Oreochromis niloticus: one gene and its partner. The protein of the gene in region 1 purifies or fractionates together with the protein of each later gene. This does not show direct contact. Links are inferred from orthologs where the notes say so. Each region holds a gene or a part of one and is shown on either strand. Other genes may lie near its edges.

The links.
Region 2: the proteins of zc3h18 (region 1) and ncbp2 purify together in Homo sapiens (co-immunoprecipitation; 3 studies listed by BioGRID and IntAct, with this or other methods). This does not show direct contact. The link is inferred for Oreochromis niloticus from reciprocal best matches to the Homo sapiens genes ZC3H18 and NCBP2.

What each region holds. Positions count from the first base shown.
Region 1 is NC_031972.2:38,979,197-38,987,246, forward strand, and holds the start of zc3h18 (zinc finger CCCH domain-containing protein 18), read right to left. Parts: upstream 3,062-8,050; 5' UTR 2,923-3,061; exon of another isoform or gene 2,607-2,922; intron 1,993-2,606; 5' UTR 1,949-1,992; coding exon 1,034-1,948; intron 1-1,033.
Region 2 is NC_031981.2:31,413,935-31,421,702, forward strand, and holds the start of ncbp2 (nuclear cap-binding protein subunit 2), read right to left. Parts: upstream 3,069-7,768; 5' UTR 2,968-3,068; coding exon 2,893-2,967; intron 2,556-2,892; coding exon 2,469-2,555; intron 1,500-2,468; coding exon 1,405-1,499; intron 368-1,404; coding exon 229-367; intron 1-228. UniProt on the Homo sapiens protein: Component of the cap-binding complex (CBC), which binds co-transcriptionally to the 5' cap of pre-mRNAs and is involved in various processes such as pre-mRNA splicing, translation regulation, nonsense-mediated mRNA decay, RNA-mediated gene silencing (RNAi) by microRNAs (miRNAs) and mRNA export.

The sequences.
Region 1 (8,050 bases):
TGATTCAGTTTATTTTGAAAAGTCTCAACAGGATCTTGAGCTTTATTGTGAAAGGTTTATGTGGAACATAAACAAGCGGACACGAGGTGGTTTTACCGTCGTTGTTGCTAACCACAACGCATAAAAACAGGCGCTTGTCCGTCCGTAGTGTGGTTATATTAAATATAAGAGAAAGAGAGAACTTTAAGAAATTAATATAGCCACTACAGTGACCATCAAAACGGTGAAAAAAATATTGCCGTAAACAGTTTATTTTGCGACACCACGAAACAAACGATAGTGTAAAATGAAACGATAGACATTTTTATATCGTCATCCGATATATATCGTTATATCGAACAGCCCTAGTATAAAACATCCAAAACTAAAAATATATTTCTAGTTTTAGTTATTTGACAGTATCTGTGCATAGGTTTTACAGGGCCAAGAACTTACCGTATCTTGGCCTGATATTACCGTATCAGTATATGTATTATATTGCAAAGGGACTTGTATTGTGGGCTTTCTAATCCACAGCTCTATTCAGATTTTGCAAGAACATATAAGTCAACTATTAATCAAATACTAACTTAACTCAAATACTAACTCTATTTGGACGTTTTTTTTTGGTTTTCCCTCTTTTGCTCTTCACACAGAGCATGCATTGAAAGCCTGCTAAAACGTGACTCATGAGAAAGATATGGACCTCAAACACAAAAAGAAAGAAAAAACCTTTGAGTTCTGAAAATGTTAAGACTACAAGGCTTCATATTCTTATTTCTCTATTATGAGAGTGTAACACACACTCAACACACTCACCAGTAGCATAAAGAGCATCCAGCCAAATTAGGTCCAGTCCACTTGGAATTTTTTTTTTTTTCAGATTTAACACCACTCTTTATGTTTAATGGCTATTTGTTCTTAAGGTTTATCAATAAAACAAAAACACAGTAGCAGTGCTTCCTGATTAAAGGCTTATTTTCAAACACAACACAATTTACCTGCACTCAGCAAATCAGACGGCACTACTACCAACTGAACTACAATAACTTACATCAATCTCTCCTTCATCAATTTCTCCATCATCCTCATCCTTCTTCTTGTCTCTGAAGGAGTCCTGGCGTATCCTCTCCGGCCCTTTCGACCCATCTGTCCTCCTGGATTCGCTGTGTTTAGGAGATGGTGGAAGGATTGACTTTTTCTCCTTTTTACTGCTTTTGTCCTCGCTTTCCTCCTCATCTTCATCTCCCTCTACTTTTGTGTCTTCCTCATCTTCCTCCTCGTGCGTAGGGATGCCAGGCTCCTCTGGGACCTCCTCATCATAATCAAGCTCATGTTCGTCTAGTTCCCGGGAAACTGACACAGAGTCATCCTTCACTTCCCTTAGCACAGCAGCTCTTCTTGTCTCTTCATCTCTTATTCTTCCATCCTCTTCATCTTTGTTTTTGTAATCCTCCTCCTGATCATCCCCTTCAGCTACCTCACATTCTGCAGAGGCAGCTTTTATGTAGTCATCATATCCTTCCTTCCAGTCTTCTCCATCTTTTCCAGCACTGAGGCTCTTGGCATTTTCTGGCTCAGAGTCTGGGGATAATGGAGTGCTGACAACTCTCTCATCATCCTCCTTTCTTTCCCTCTCCTCCACCACCTGAGGACTGTCTTCATTCCCCTCCATAAGCACAATGCTCTCATCATCCTGTCCCAACTCTCCCATTTCTCCAAAAGGTTCCTCATCCTCTGGCTCCGACACAAAGTCAGGCACCACCTCATCCTCCTCTTCCTCTAATTCCACATGTTTTCCATGCCCTTCCATCACTTCTATGTCCCCTTCTTCATTGAGGATCTCGCTGTCTGAAATGACCCTGTCCTCCTCTTCATTAGGAGACTCCAGCAACTCACTGTCAGAAAGACCCTTTTCCTCCTCCTCAGGAGACTGAGGGGACTGGGTAGGGCTTTCAGGAGTATCCATGTGAATCCACTCTGGTGCAAAAAAAACAACAACAAAACAGCAATCTGTCAAAAGAAAGAAAGAAAGAAAAGACAACTGTATGTCACCAGTAATCTGATAGTAATTTAACACTGTTCAATCTAATGCTACGTGCCATTTGATAATCGATTTAAAAACAGTCAGTTAAAAACAGTCAAAATTAACCAATAAAATGTCTAGAATCAAAAATTAAATTTAAAATGATGCACCACAAAAAAATGTTAATTCTGCTACCAACTGAAAGAAAGATGGTACAGTTAATTTATATAGTAATATATAACTGTCATACACCATAACGCTAAATACTTGTTTTTGTTCATTTGGTGATTGCTGACACAAAGAACGGAGAAAAACTAATTTCTATTAACTTTGATAACACCTTTCCTGAGATTGAGACGTAATTAGATGTTGGTCACAGCAGTATATGTTTTATGAAATTATAGTTTCCGGCGCTGCTAATTCACCAGCAAAGTAAACGTTAGCTATAACACGCTAACTAACAACCACCATTTAGTTTTACGTGTATATAAGTCTCCATATTGCTCCATGGTACAACTATATGTGTATACATAATTAGACAACATGCTCAAGTTTATAAAGACAGGTTTCCCTGTAGCATAATGTCACTGGTAACACTTACAATGGCTGGGTCGCGCTAGTTCGCAACAAGGCCCATAACTTGGCGGCGCGAAGACAAGGCTAATAACGAGTAAAGTGTCCCCAACCTATGGATAGTTTTCTTCAGCGATTATAAACGCTTGGCTTAACCATACAAATAAGTGGACAGTACCGGTTTAGTACGAAGCGTTCGCACCAGTACACTTGGCCGTCTTACGGTTAACAATGTAGCCTCCCCTGAAGCTAAGCTAAAAGAGCAAGTACACTGTGCTAGGAGCTAACAACACATTTTTTAATCACCTTGCCGACACGAAGCTCTATAAAGACCGCGCCTCTACCTTTTCAGCTGCACTCTCCCGCGGATAAAACTTTTTACTGTCTGCAATAAATATTAGACGGTTTTATTTTTAGCCGCTGTAGCGATGAAAATAAAGCACCCTGCACGGCCCAGCGAGAGCGGCCATTACCTCAACGTCATCAACATACGACAACCGTGTGGTTGGAACCGCGCTGAAAGCTAATCGGGGCAGACCTGAGATCAGTATGGGCCAACGTTGACAGGAGAATATCTGTAATATTTTAAGAATGTTGTTAGACATACATGATTTTTAACCAGTTACTTAGAAATCATGGAAGACATTTTTGGGGAGCAGTTAAGTCGTTCCATGTAACTATTATTTTTGATTAATGTTTTCTCTTCTATTCACTTGGTGACCTCTCATCTCTGGTGACAATAACTGTAATATGGATACAGTGTTCCACCACTAATTCTTTTTGAATTAACTATTTGAGTTAACTCATTTAATTTCATTTCTTTCAGTTCTCCATATCCAAAGACAAATTTAACTTTTTTTTAGTTCACTAAAGAATAAATTAACAACAAAGTAATCATATCAGTATTATGCAGTGACTATATGAAAGTAGATTTTCGTCACTGATGTTGATTGTTGCAGTTAATAAACTTTTTAACATAATTCTTGATCATTATTATTTTTTTGCCTTGAAAACAGCAGCTCACAACAAGATTTAAGGTCAACTTACTTAGAAGAAAACTTTGGTTTAAAGGTAAAAGCTCACAGCAAGTTGAGTGGCTGAGTGAAAAACCAGCGCTACCCCTCAGCCCCTAGTAGATGCACCTGTGGCATAAATTTGAAAATCTTAAATCAGTCTTAAATGAGTTGCTGTGTTCAACAGGCAAACCAATATGAACTGTCTAAACAAGAAAGGCCACTTTGTTTGAGCTAACTAATCGTTTGTAGATTATAAAAAATTATTTGGTTTTAGTTTGATTAAACTTAAAATGTCTGTTTATTTCCAAAAACGTCTAACTTGAAAAATTCTTGCCCATAATGAAACCAATCCTTATTTCTTCATATTTTGTTTGTAATATAGAAAATGAGCACAGTAATGTGTAAACATGAATACGGTGTAACTAGGCGGTACCAGAGTTACTATGGGAGGGGCTCAGAGTACAGCAGGAGTCTCCAACACATCACTTGCGAATGGGGCCTTTTTCAGTAGCTTGCCAAAGGGGTCAATAACAAAAGTGGTCAAGAAAATAAGAAATATAATTTGTAGGTTGGCGAAACTGGCCAAGCTTTCCATCCAATCAAAATTAAAGATACCCCTACCCCTCTTGAAATGAAACAATTATTTGTCAACTAACTGTCAATCAAAAGTTTGTGCCGGGCTGCTGTCTGCAATTGAAGCGGTTAGACGCCATATGGAGGTAGCAGGCAGACGAGGTGCCAGGCTATTAGCAACAATGATAGCAGCAGAGTTTGGTTATGCTAGTAAGAGGCAAAAAATTTATTTTCTTGAGGAGTGGGAAACAACTTTTTTTCCCACAAATGTGTGTGTGATCTGTGGCGCGAGCCTTGGTGTCTCTAAAAAAATGCAACGTGGAGCAGCATTTCACCAAAGTTCACAGCAACTTTTCCCAGGACTTTGCAGTGGGAAGCAACCTCTGCAAAGAAAAGGTAAAAGAACTGAAAACTATCCTCCAAAAACAACAATCTAAACAGCCAAAGAATGCTAGCGCATCAACCGAGGCATCATTTAAAGTGGTGCACATCCTCACCAAGCACAAAAAACCCTTCATTAATGTCGGGATCATTAAAGAGGCAATGGCCACCATGGCAGAATCATTGCGAAAATAAGACTGAGATTCTTTCTGCTATCGCTAATGTCCAGCTTGGCTTGAACACTGTCAGCAGATGCAGAGAGAAAGCTAGATTTGGACCTTAACAGGTGCTCCTGGTATTTACTTCAGCGTGTTGAGTCTGTGGACTACAGTGATACGGCACAGCTAGCTGTGCACACATGGTGATGACTTTTCCACAAAGGAGGAATTTTTGACATTGCTGCCACTGGAAACCAAGGAAGTTGACATTTACAATGCAATGAAGCGGTACTTGTTGGAAAAAAAGATTTCCATTGAAAAACTGGTTTCTGTAACAACTGATGGAGCAGCAGCCATGACAGGACATCACTCGAGATTTATTACACATGGCAAAGCGGACCCAGACTTTCCTAAATGTTTGAACTATCACTGCATCATCCATCAGCAGGCTATTTGTGCAAAAGTCACACGGAGGTCCAGTGCTGAGCAAACGTAAGATGAGAGGAGAGGATACCATACTACCAAGTGATGCTGAGTGGCTGATCTGGCTTTCCTGATGGATGTGACTGAAAAAATTAAAAAGCTGAACCAGCAGTTGCAGGATAGAGACAAAAAAGTGTGTGAAATGATCAGTGCTGTGAAGGCATTCACAGCAGATGCAGCAGCCACTATTTTGTGGTCTGTGCTTTGAGGAACTAATGTCTTGTTTATACTCCTCCTGTCTTGCCTGCGTTGTTTTGCCACAGTTACTTCTTGTCCGTGTGTCTTGCTACTTTACCTGCATCATTTGTTTATTTGTACTAGCTTGTTTAGTGATTTGCTCCACTCGCCACAGAGAGTGCTAAATGGGAATTCCTTTTTGTTGTGTTTGAGCTAGGATTACCTGTTATATCAACAGTCACTGGCACAGGCGACAGTTCACCTGTGGAGTGTGTATATGACTCTTTGGCTTGTGTATTTTATTGTAGCGTGTGTGTGTGTGTAAGACATTTTAAAACTGTATGCCTGGAGTGGATTTTAGTAGTTTTTCTTGTATGAGTCTGATGTCAAGTGTCCTATTATATTTTTGTGATTTTTAACATTCTTGCTTTTTATTTTCATGACTGAAGATAAGCCAGTAGCTGTGGGACCTTCTTGGTGGTGGGTCCTTTCCCACAGTCTCTATGTTGTGCAGCATCTTGGATGTAAAACTGGTTTTTATTATTTTAAAATCTGTATTAAAGGACTAAAGGTATTTAAATATTTTAATGGAACCAATCTGCTTCAGTGGTGCATTTTTGAAGCTGTGCAGACATTTGGTTATTTTGTTTAAATGCTTCATCTTTATATTTCCTAGGGGTGAAATTCTCCTAGGTGGCGTTGTTGCGAACTTAATCATAACCCCCCTGACCACCACACCACACTTCTGTGTTTCCCAGATTAAGTCAGTCCAGTCCAGTTCTCTTGGCTTTCAGATCTGGGTTCCAGGGTCTGCCATTCTGGACTATGGTCAATGAGCCACAGGTGTCCTCCTTACAAACCCAGTGTGTTGCCCGGAGGCTTCCATTAGGGGGTGCACTATCACAGCTTCCCAGTCTTCCCATTGCCCACTGCCAGTTTCTGTCTCATCTTTTCATTCTCCATCTCTTTGTGGATGTGTTTGTGGATGAGGCACTGTATTTACCTTTTCCAGGGGTAGTCATCCTTGGTCCCCATCAGTAGTGGGAAGTAAAAAGTACTTTACTGCTATACTTGAGTAGAATTTTCAGGTATCTGTACTTTGTTTTACTATTTATTTTTCTGACAACTTTTACATTACTCCACTATCTACATTTTTACACAAATGGCTGTACTTTCTATGCCTTAAATTTAAAAAAGGCTTGATACTTGTTACTGTTTAATGCATTTAATGCATTTGAGGAAAGTTACAGTACTTCATGATCTAGCTAACGCTACAGAACAGGCACAAGCATAAAGGGAGTAACTATTTTGGAGTGGCAGGTAATTTCAAATGTAATGTTTCTATCAGTCCAACAAAGATCAGTAAAAACACACACTCTGTGTGTGGTTATGTGCAGTTTGTTGCACAATGTGACTGCTAGCTAAATGTACAGCTGATGCATTTCCCAGGGAGAGAAAAGTGACAGATAACTTCACATGTGAGGCAGGAAAGGAAGACAGGTTATATTGGGCGATCGTGGCTCAAGAGTTGGGAGTTCGCCTTGTAATCGGAAGGTTACCGGTTCGAGCCCCAGCTTGGACAGTCTCGGTCGTTGTGTCCTTGGGCAAGGCACTTCACCCGTTGCCTACTGGTGGTGGTCAGAGGGCCCGGTGGCGCCAGTGTCCGGCAGCCTCGCCTCTATCAGTGCGCCCCAGGGTGGCTGTGGCTACAACGTAGCTTGCCATCACCAGTGTGTGAATGGGTGAATGACTGGATATGTAAAGCGCTTTGGGGTCCTTAGGGACCAGAAAAGCGCTACATAAATACAGGCCATTTACCATATTTAAAGGTTAATGCTGATCAATGACATTTTATAGACTGTAAATTTAAATTTAAATACATAATGTCCTCATTTTGTAAATCGGGTATTTACATATCTGTATGTAAAATTGTGCTTATTTCATATTATAAAACATCCTGTGGAACAAACTGACTCATACCAACATTGTGTTATTCAAAATTTGTATGAAAATACTTGGCATTTTAGATCGTGATAAACAGGTTTGTGATATTGTGGCAAATTTAAAGTAAAACACTGTGCTAGACTGGTGGCTGTTAGTTACCATACAATTCATTGTGGTAACTAACTGCAAGTTCAAATAAAAAATATCAATAAATCAAGTGCGTTTGGAAAAAACAATGAAAAAAGGCATATAAATTTGCATTATTTGCTTTATTTGCATTAAAACACGGATGAATCTAACAAAGGTGTGACAGAAATTCGCAATCAGTAGGGACCAGAGGTGGCAAAAATACAGACATTCTGTACTTAAGTAGAAATACATATACTACTACTGTTAAAAATTACTCAGTAGAAGTAAACGTTGAAGTACTGATTCAACTTTGGGTGAACCCTCTGCTCAAGTAAAAGTAAAAAAGTACAGTCTCTGAAATGTACTCAAAGCAAGAAAGTAAAAAGTAGTTCTTTGAAGGACGTTTCTGTTTACTACAAAGCTAACTGAACCTTTTGCTATATTAAAATCATGATAATATAATATCAGTAGATGGGAATACAAACTTTAGTCTAACTTTTTAAAATTCTAATTAAACTCAGGTTAAATCTGAAGAAAAAGAAGGAAAATAAAAAATGTAGCTGTTTTCTGTTGCCTACACTGTAGAGGGTGACTTTGTGTTAAATTGGATT
Region 2 (7,768 bases), on another chromosome or scaffold:
GTGAGCTGAGCTCTAAAGCCCAGATCAGAGACATCTACAATGTTCTTTAACATTACTTTAGTCGTGGGTTAATATCTTTTTGGATTAATTCAAATACGAGTGCAGTTACTCACAGAACTAACTTTTAGCTTTGTAGTTTGCTCCAATAAAAATAAATAAATAAACCAGCAGTCGGCATCCACAGCAGGTTGCTTCCATTTATTAAAGTACTCATATCCTAACCCTCACCTGTCCTCCTGATTTGCCACGACCAAACTGTCTTCCCTCCTTGAAGCCGGCATCCCAGTCTGTCCTGATGATGCGGTCATCCAGCCGTGTGCCATTAATGAAGCGCATGGCATGCTCTGCATCTGCACGGGTGTAGTATCTGGGACAGCGTTAAGGCACAACACGTGCAATTCATGATGTTCTGGTAACTTCTGAAGGTGATTCTGAAGTAGGGGTGGGCGATAGAAACGATATACGATAGAAACGACATAAATTTGGCCAATGATAGAGATTTTGACTATACCGCTCTACCGCGATAGCGCATGTTGATGATGTCATCAAGCTGCGCCTGTTTTGGTCGAAAGCATCGCAGCGGCTACAACCATAATCATCTGCAAATTATGCCGGGTGACAGTCATAGCAAAGAGATGAAGCACTTTTGAAATATGGGGAAAGCCAAAAACTGCGCTTCCTCCACTTCCGTAACATTGATTCATTAATGCTGAATTCTCTCGCAGCTGTTCTATTCCCATGTTGTTGCAGTATATTAATAACTAACCTTGTATTGTGGATGGATTATCTCAGTTGTTCTCCTGACTGAAGTTTGGCCCGTGTATAGCATCCTGCCATGCGATTGCCTTTGTCCCTAACCACCAGAAACCCTCACGTTAACTTTTATCGAGTGGAAAAAAAGTTGGCGTTCATCCTCCAGCTTCACTGTGCTAATATTATGCTAACATAGCTGTGTCGCTAGCAATCACGTAGCACAACATTATATACCAGGTAGTCCAACTTCAGTAACCCTGCAAACGCCACTGCTGTTTGTTTTCTGTCTTCATTTATGTTGGAACTGGTAGCAGAGCTGTACGTTTTAATTAGCTTCAAAAATCTCTCAGTCAGAACATGATATGTCATGTTTAGGTGGAAACTAGGTTCGAGGTCAGTAAGCTCAACCAGAATTCATACATAAGGCACACTCTCGATTTTTGAGAAAATTAAAGGATTTTAAGTGCGCCTCATAGTGTGGAAAATACGTTATACAGAAGAAAAGAATATATCGCGATATATATCGTTACCGCACGTGCTTCAAATTATACCGCGATATGGATTTTAGGCCATATCGCCCAGCCCTATTCTGAAGGCAGTCAAATTACTGACAGTTTCTTTTAGCATGAATTAAACATTTTTGAAGGATACTCGACAAAGCAGAACCCACAAGCAGTCTTCTTGATTTTGTCGAGGCCAATGATGATACGCTTGACATCTCCACTTTTAGAAAACAGCTCGTGTACCTGTTCACAGTGGCAAAAAAAGTTAGAAAACTTGAGAAAATTTAACAAAATATCTGCAGTGAATTTCCCAACTCTGGGACTTCTCTTGTGATAAACTATCAGAAAAATCAACACTGAAAATATGTCTATTATGTGTTTTTGACATATATTTTATGTGCGACACATTGACGTTCAGTTTTTTCCATCAAATTTTCCAACCCTTGAACACAAAGACAGCTTCAGTGCAGTGCCGCTGAAAGTGTCAAGCTGCTGTGAAGCTCAGAACAGCTAAAATGCCATTCTTTACATGACTTTTTTCAGGCACACAACATGGCTCACTCATCCATTCATACAAGCACTTTCTACCTCACAGTCACACACAATTAGAAAGCAACTTGGGGTTCAGCATCTTGCCCAAGGATACTTTGGCAAACCAACAATCTTCCAATTAGTAGATAACCTGCTCCAACTCCTGAACTACAGCCACCCAACATCGAGTGCACTGCTGCGCCTGTCACACACATGCCCTACCTACCTACTCTAGTCAGTCTATATGTGCAGTCAACACCTGCACATATGGACTGTAAATTTATAGTCTGACGCGTTTTACAATCAAAATAAGCTTTTTTTCATAATTCAAAAAAGGCTTAAATTCATAAATGTATCAAATTCACCTATTAAAACTTCCACTGAGACAACACATCAGTGGAATCTGTGTGATTGCTCTGAACATATAAACACTTGAAGCTTATGTGTAATGCCAGTGGTGTTTTGGTGGCATAACTAGAGGACAATATTTGACTAAACATGTTTGTTTATCAGGCAGATGACATGTACTGTTTTATAAATGAGTCTCCTAATCTATTAGTAGCTCAGTCAGCCATTTCCCCCATCATATTGGTCTCTTTGAAGAATTTTATTTTAAAAAATTAAGCAACTTTCCAATAAAGCCGGGTTATTACTTTAACTGGTGAAGGTATTGTGTCTTACCTGCTCCTCGGTGGTGTAGAAGGAGAGATTGCCCACATACAAAGTGTTGCTCTGCTTCAGAAGCTTCTCCTGTTCATAGCGATTACCCTAAAAGCACAAGCAACGTTACAAATGTTTAAAAAAATTGCTCTCAAGAAGTTGACATTATAGCGATCAAACGACCTGTGTTGAAGCAAGGAGTTAATTTATAAGTTAGCCACGCTTTAGTCCTAACGAAGCATCATAAAACAACATCAGGACTTTTTAAGGCCAGGTTAAAATACAGAGATATGTTTTGCTGTTCTGTTTGTTCCCGAGTCACCTCCACTGCACAGCACCGCTCGCCTTTGTTGTTTGCTAACAGTTAGCTATAAGATACATTACATTTACATTCCCGTAAATCATGATAAGTCACCGCGTTCCTAAAGACCACTTCCTCATTTACCTTAAAGTGTTGGTCTCTGTATTGACTAATGTCAATGTAAGAATCACTGTTTAGCGCGTTTAGTTTAACAGACATCGTGAAAAAATCGCAGTGAGGCGCTTTGCTGCTATTCAACTAGGAGCATGCCGGAAAAGCGATGATGTTGCTTCCGTTTCATGTGTCCGTCCTTTGAATAAGTCCGGGTACAGCAACTTCTATATCAGGTTAATGGCGCCGCCTGTTGGTATCACTGACTGTAGAAAACACATAACAGTGATTTGTACAGTCATCGGTTGATATTCAATCATTGCCAAGATACAGTCACTGTTACCAGCAGGCAGACTGTCTGTGACAGTTTAAAGACCTATTTGCATAAATCATAAAACCCCCAAACCTTAAAAAAAAAATGTTAAAAAATGTTAATTACGCATCAAAATACTATTTTGAGTCCTGTTTCTATTACACAAGTACAAGGGCATAATCACGCATGAACTTCAACTTTTTTTTTTTTAAATAATACTAAAATATGTTTTTTAATGAAAGGTCACAGTACCTCAAAGTCAACAAAAATAAATAAATAAAAATAAAACAACAAATTTGGCTTTTATTCCCAAATTACAGATTGTTTTTATTCATTAATATTACAGTTTTAAAAGTTTGTCGTTCGTTTTGTTTCTTGTGTCCAAACTGGACACAAAAAGACTGAAAGCTTGCTACTGTTAAACTGAGTCGTAAGTCACATGACTGCTGGAGCTGTGTGAGATGTGGTGCCATGCTGTTGGCTACTGCACTTTTATTATTATTGGCTACTAAAGTATCAGTGCCCCTCTTTTCCTTCGTTCTTCTTCTGCTATTTTTTTAAATAGTTTATTTTGTTAATATTTTACTGTTTTATATATGTTATATATGTTGAGAAAATGTGTCTGTGTGTGTGGGGGGGGGGGGGGGGGAGAATTAATTTACTTTGATCTTATGCTTAACAAAAAGTTATTATTAATTAATGAAGCTGAGCTCTCTTTTTTGGATGTTGGCTGCCTTTTGCTCCATTGTCTGTGAAGATGATTGTGCACCACTTCAATAATGTTGAGGCCTGGGCTCTGACGAAGTAAATACATGACAGTCTTCCATTTTGGGTCTTTCTAGTTTCAATTAGAAGAGTGAAAACAAAATTTGCATTTTTGCAAGAGGATGCTAGTAACACTTTCAGAAAGCCTGCAGAACTACTGCTGAAGACCATAAAAACAATTGCAAGCCTGCTTGAAATTAAAATAGAAATAACTAGGGGTTAGCTAAAGTAGTTTTCAAGTAGTAAAAAAAAAAAAGAAATTAAAAGAACAAAAGTACTTACAAACATTTTATTACATAATTCAAATTCTTACTGTTAAAAAAACAAAAAAAACAAAACGTATCCTAGTCTGACCTGACTCCCACTTCACACTAAATTATTTCCTGAACAAAAAACCCCCTAAATAACAAAAACAGTGTGCAGATGTGAATAAACCCGCTTTATAAAATTAAAGAAATTAAGAAAAGAGATGAAGAGACGGTACAGCGTATTGAGCCCACAGTCAAATACACACTGAAAAAAAGGGACTGGCCAGCGTTTTACGTAAGCATCTTGCGTGTATTTAAAACAAGTGTCTCATGCTTTAAAGTTAAATGTAACTATATAGTGTAGAGACTACATGATATGCAGAGAGGCTAGATTAAATTGTTCATATCATGTTCAAGTGAAGTAAGTCAATAATATAGCAATGTTAAATCCCGCGACACTGCACGGGTTTCAGTCCCGTGCTCTTTGGATCGTGGTTTGAGGAAGGCATCCATCTCAGTCAAGTCGAGCAGCCGCCTCTACTTTTTTGGTATACCGAAAAAAGTAAATTGGGTGGTTGTTACATTAAAAAAGTCTAACTTGTAATTTGAACATAATTTCGTGTTTCTATGAACGTAATTAAATCATGAAGGATCTGTACGAAATTCAACAACTTAATTTGTTCTTGTTGAGATGACATAAAACAATCTAGTCAGAGTGGTTAGTTGCTGAACTCATGAAATTCACAAGATCGCACGAGATTTCAAACTGCAGGAAAATCACTGGAGATATAAGAGGCAGACAACTACACACACACACCACGTGCATGCTATTGCTATTTATTGTGGATTAACCTGTGAAGGACAAAAACAAAAAAATTCTGCATCAAATACAGGAAATCATAGTTTTCCTGTATTTCCTAGATTGTTGGCATGGTGGTTAGTGCTGTTGCTTCACAGTAAGAAGGTCTTGGGTTCAAATCTACATTCTGGCTTGTTTGCAGTGGTTTCTCTGTGGGTATTCTGGTTTCCTCCCACAGTTAAAAGTCATGCAGTTATTAGAGTTAGGGTTAACTGGTGATTCTAAATTACCCGTGAATGTAAGTGCAAATGGTTGTTTGTTTCTATGTGATAGACTGGTGAGCTGTCCAGGTTGTACCCTGCCTCGTAACCTATCACTTCAGGGTTATTTCCCAGCCCCCCTGCAACCAGGATAAAGATGATAGGAGGATGGTAGTTGCTGTAGACCCATTCAATTTTTATGGTAACCAGGATCTAGACTTTGTTGAACATTATGTAATATGAAGACAACATGTAGTATTTAAGTGACCAAGTAGTATTGGGGTAAAAGTTATTGAATAGTGTTGAAATAAAATGACAAAATTGTGAAGGATTAAATTATTCCAAGAGATCAACTTACTTCATCTGAACATGTTTCAATCGCGTTTTATGAACACAAAATGCACAGGTTTATTGAATAAAAAGCAAAGCTGGTAGAAGGAAAACAGGAGCTTTGCTGACTCTTCTCTCACATTTGCCTTTTAATCTTCATCAGAGGTCACATGGTCTCCACTCAGCAGCACCTCCTGGAACCTGGAAAAATAAAGTGAAAGCACATATTGTTATAGTCAAAGCAAAAAAACAACAAAAAAACAACCAGTGTGTGTCAATCAAATCAGTATGTTCAAGGACATCATCCTCTTAACAGATCCTGAAGGTTTTTCATATGCAGTAGTTACATTTTGAGTTCTCCAAAGAACAAAGCATTATTATCTGTGTAGATAGTTTAGTCTGGGTTTCGGCTTTGTTGCTGGAGCAATCAGCCTTTCAATGATCAAACAATCCTCAAAGAGAGGGAAAGTGAGTAATGCGTGATGCGGACCATTCTGACAGATCTGCTGGGTCTGGCAGAGATTTAATCATAATGTAAATATCCCTTCTCTTAACACACCTGCTAACCTAATCTAGCCAAGCTCAAAAGACATGCAAACAATGCAAAAGTGAGAGACATTCTTACTTCTGTGTCAGGAAGAAGGACAAGCTGACCTTCTAAAATCTATGCACAGCTTCAAGAAGGGAGTTTGTGAATCATTTGGAATTACGATGATTTCACTCAACTTGAATACAACCTGACTAAGCTAATTAACACACATAGTTGTGCTTTTCATTGTTTAATTTAACACATTAAGAAGTTATGGCAAAGGCTGGAAAGAGTTAAAAATTAACTCTTGAATTCCATAACTTGTGAAACATCCTTCAACAATCAGATATGGCCAATAAGTGCTTACGCAACATGCAGAATGCTGAGGAGAAACAGTGGAGCCTTCCTTCCTATACAAAACTCCCAGGATGTGAAGATCAAAAAATCTCTCTGAAGGTCCTACCTCAGGATCTCAGCTGGATTAGTGTCAAACCTAATCAAAACCTTAATGTTGTTTCACTGTCTTCCAGTTTTCTGGTGCTAATTAACTCGTATTCTTATTGCTTTGCAAGCTCCAGGTTATGGACTGCTGTCCTGACAAAATGTCTTCATGCAATTTAACTTCATTATTTCTTCAACTGTCGCAAGGTGTCATGGGCTCGAGAACACAGTTGCAAAACATGAGACTACCACCTCCACGCTTAATAGTTAGGAGCAGGTTTTTTTGGAGTGCAGTGGTTTCCTTACTGTTTTCATCCTATTTGTGGAGATGTCTGCAGGTGTTTTGCTGCTACCTCTTTTGGGATTGAAACCTTGGGATGATCTCTGCAGTATGTCTCAAATGCAGAGGAGCAGCAGCCCTAAATTACACCTAATTTACAGACAATTTGGCTCATTGTAGACTGATGAACATTCAGGTCACTTTAGTTTTTCTAGCCTTTCCCACTTTTTTTCATCACAGTAATGCTTCTAAGGTCCTGTGAAAGCTGTCGCAAACAAGGCATGTTAAATGCCAAGCAAGTTTCCTTAAGAGGAGCAGACTTTGCTTTCCTTTATTTACAGGAATGGCACCTCCTGCAGCCCCCACTTCAAATTTCATGTCTTAAATCTGAACACCAAGCAAGCAATTTATTTATATAGCACTTTCAGAACAACTCCCAGCTGAACACAAAGTGCTGTACACTTGACATGCCAGAAATGATACATTGAATAAGTTAAAAATAAATAAATAAATAAAGATAAAAAAAATAAAAAAGATGATAATTAAAATGACATTTAAAATAATAAAATTCAACCACAAATAGCAAAAAAATAAATAAATAAATAAAATAGTATAAAATGGTAATTAGAATAACATTTAAAACAATAAAATCAGCACATTAGATTAAAACAATAAAATCAGGGTCATACTGTGTCATATGCCAAGGAGTATAAATAGGTTTTAAGACGTGTTTTAAAAGTTGACAGTGAAGGGGCCTCTCTAATTCAATTCAATTTTCAATTCAATTTTATTTATATAACACCAAATCACAACAAAAGTCACCTCAAGGCACTTCATAGGTACAGAGAAAAACAATCATATGACCCCCTATGAGCAAGCACTTTGGCGACAGTGGGAAGGAAAAACTCCCTTTTAACAGGAAGAAACCTCCGGCAGAACCAGGT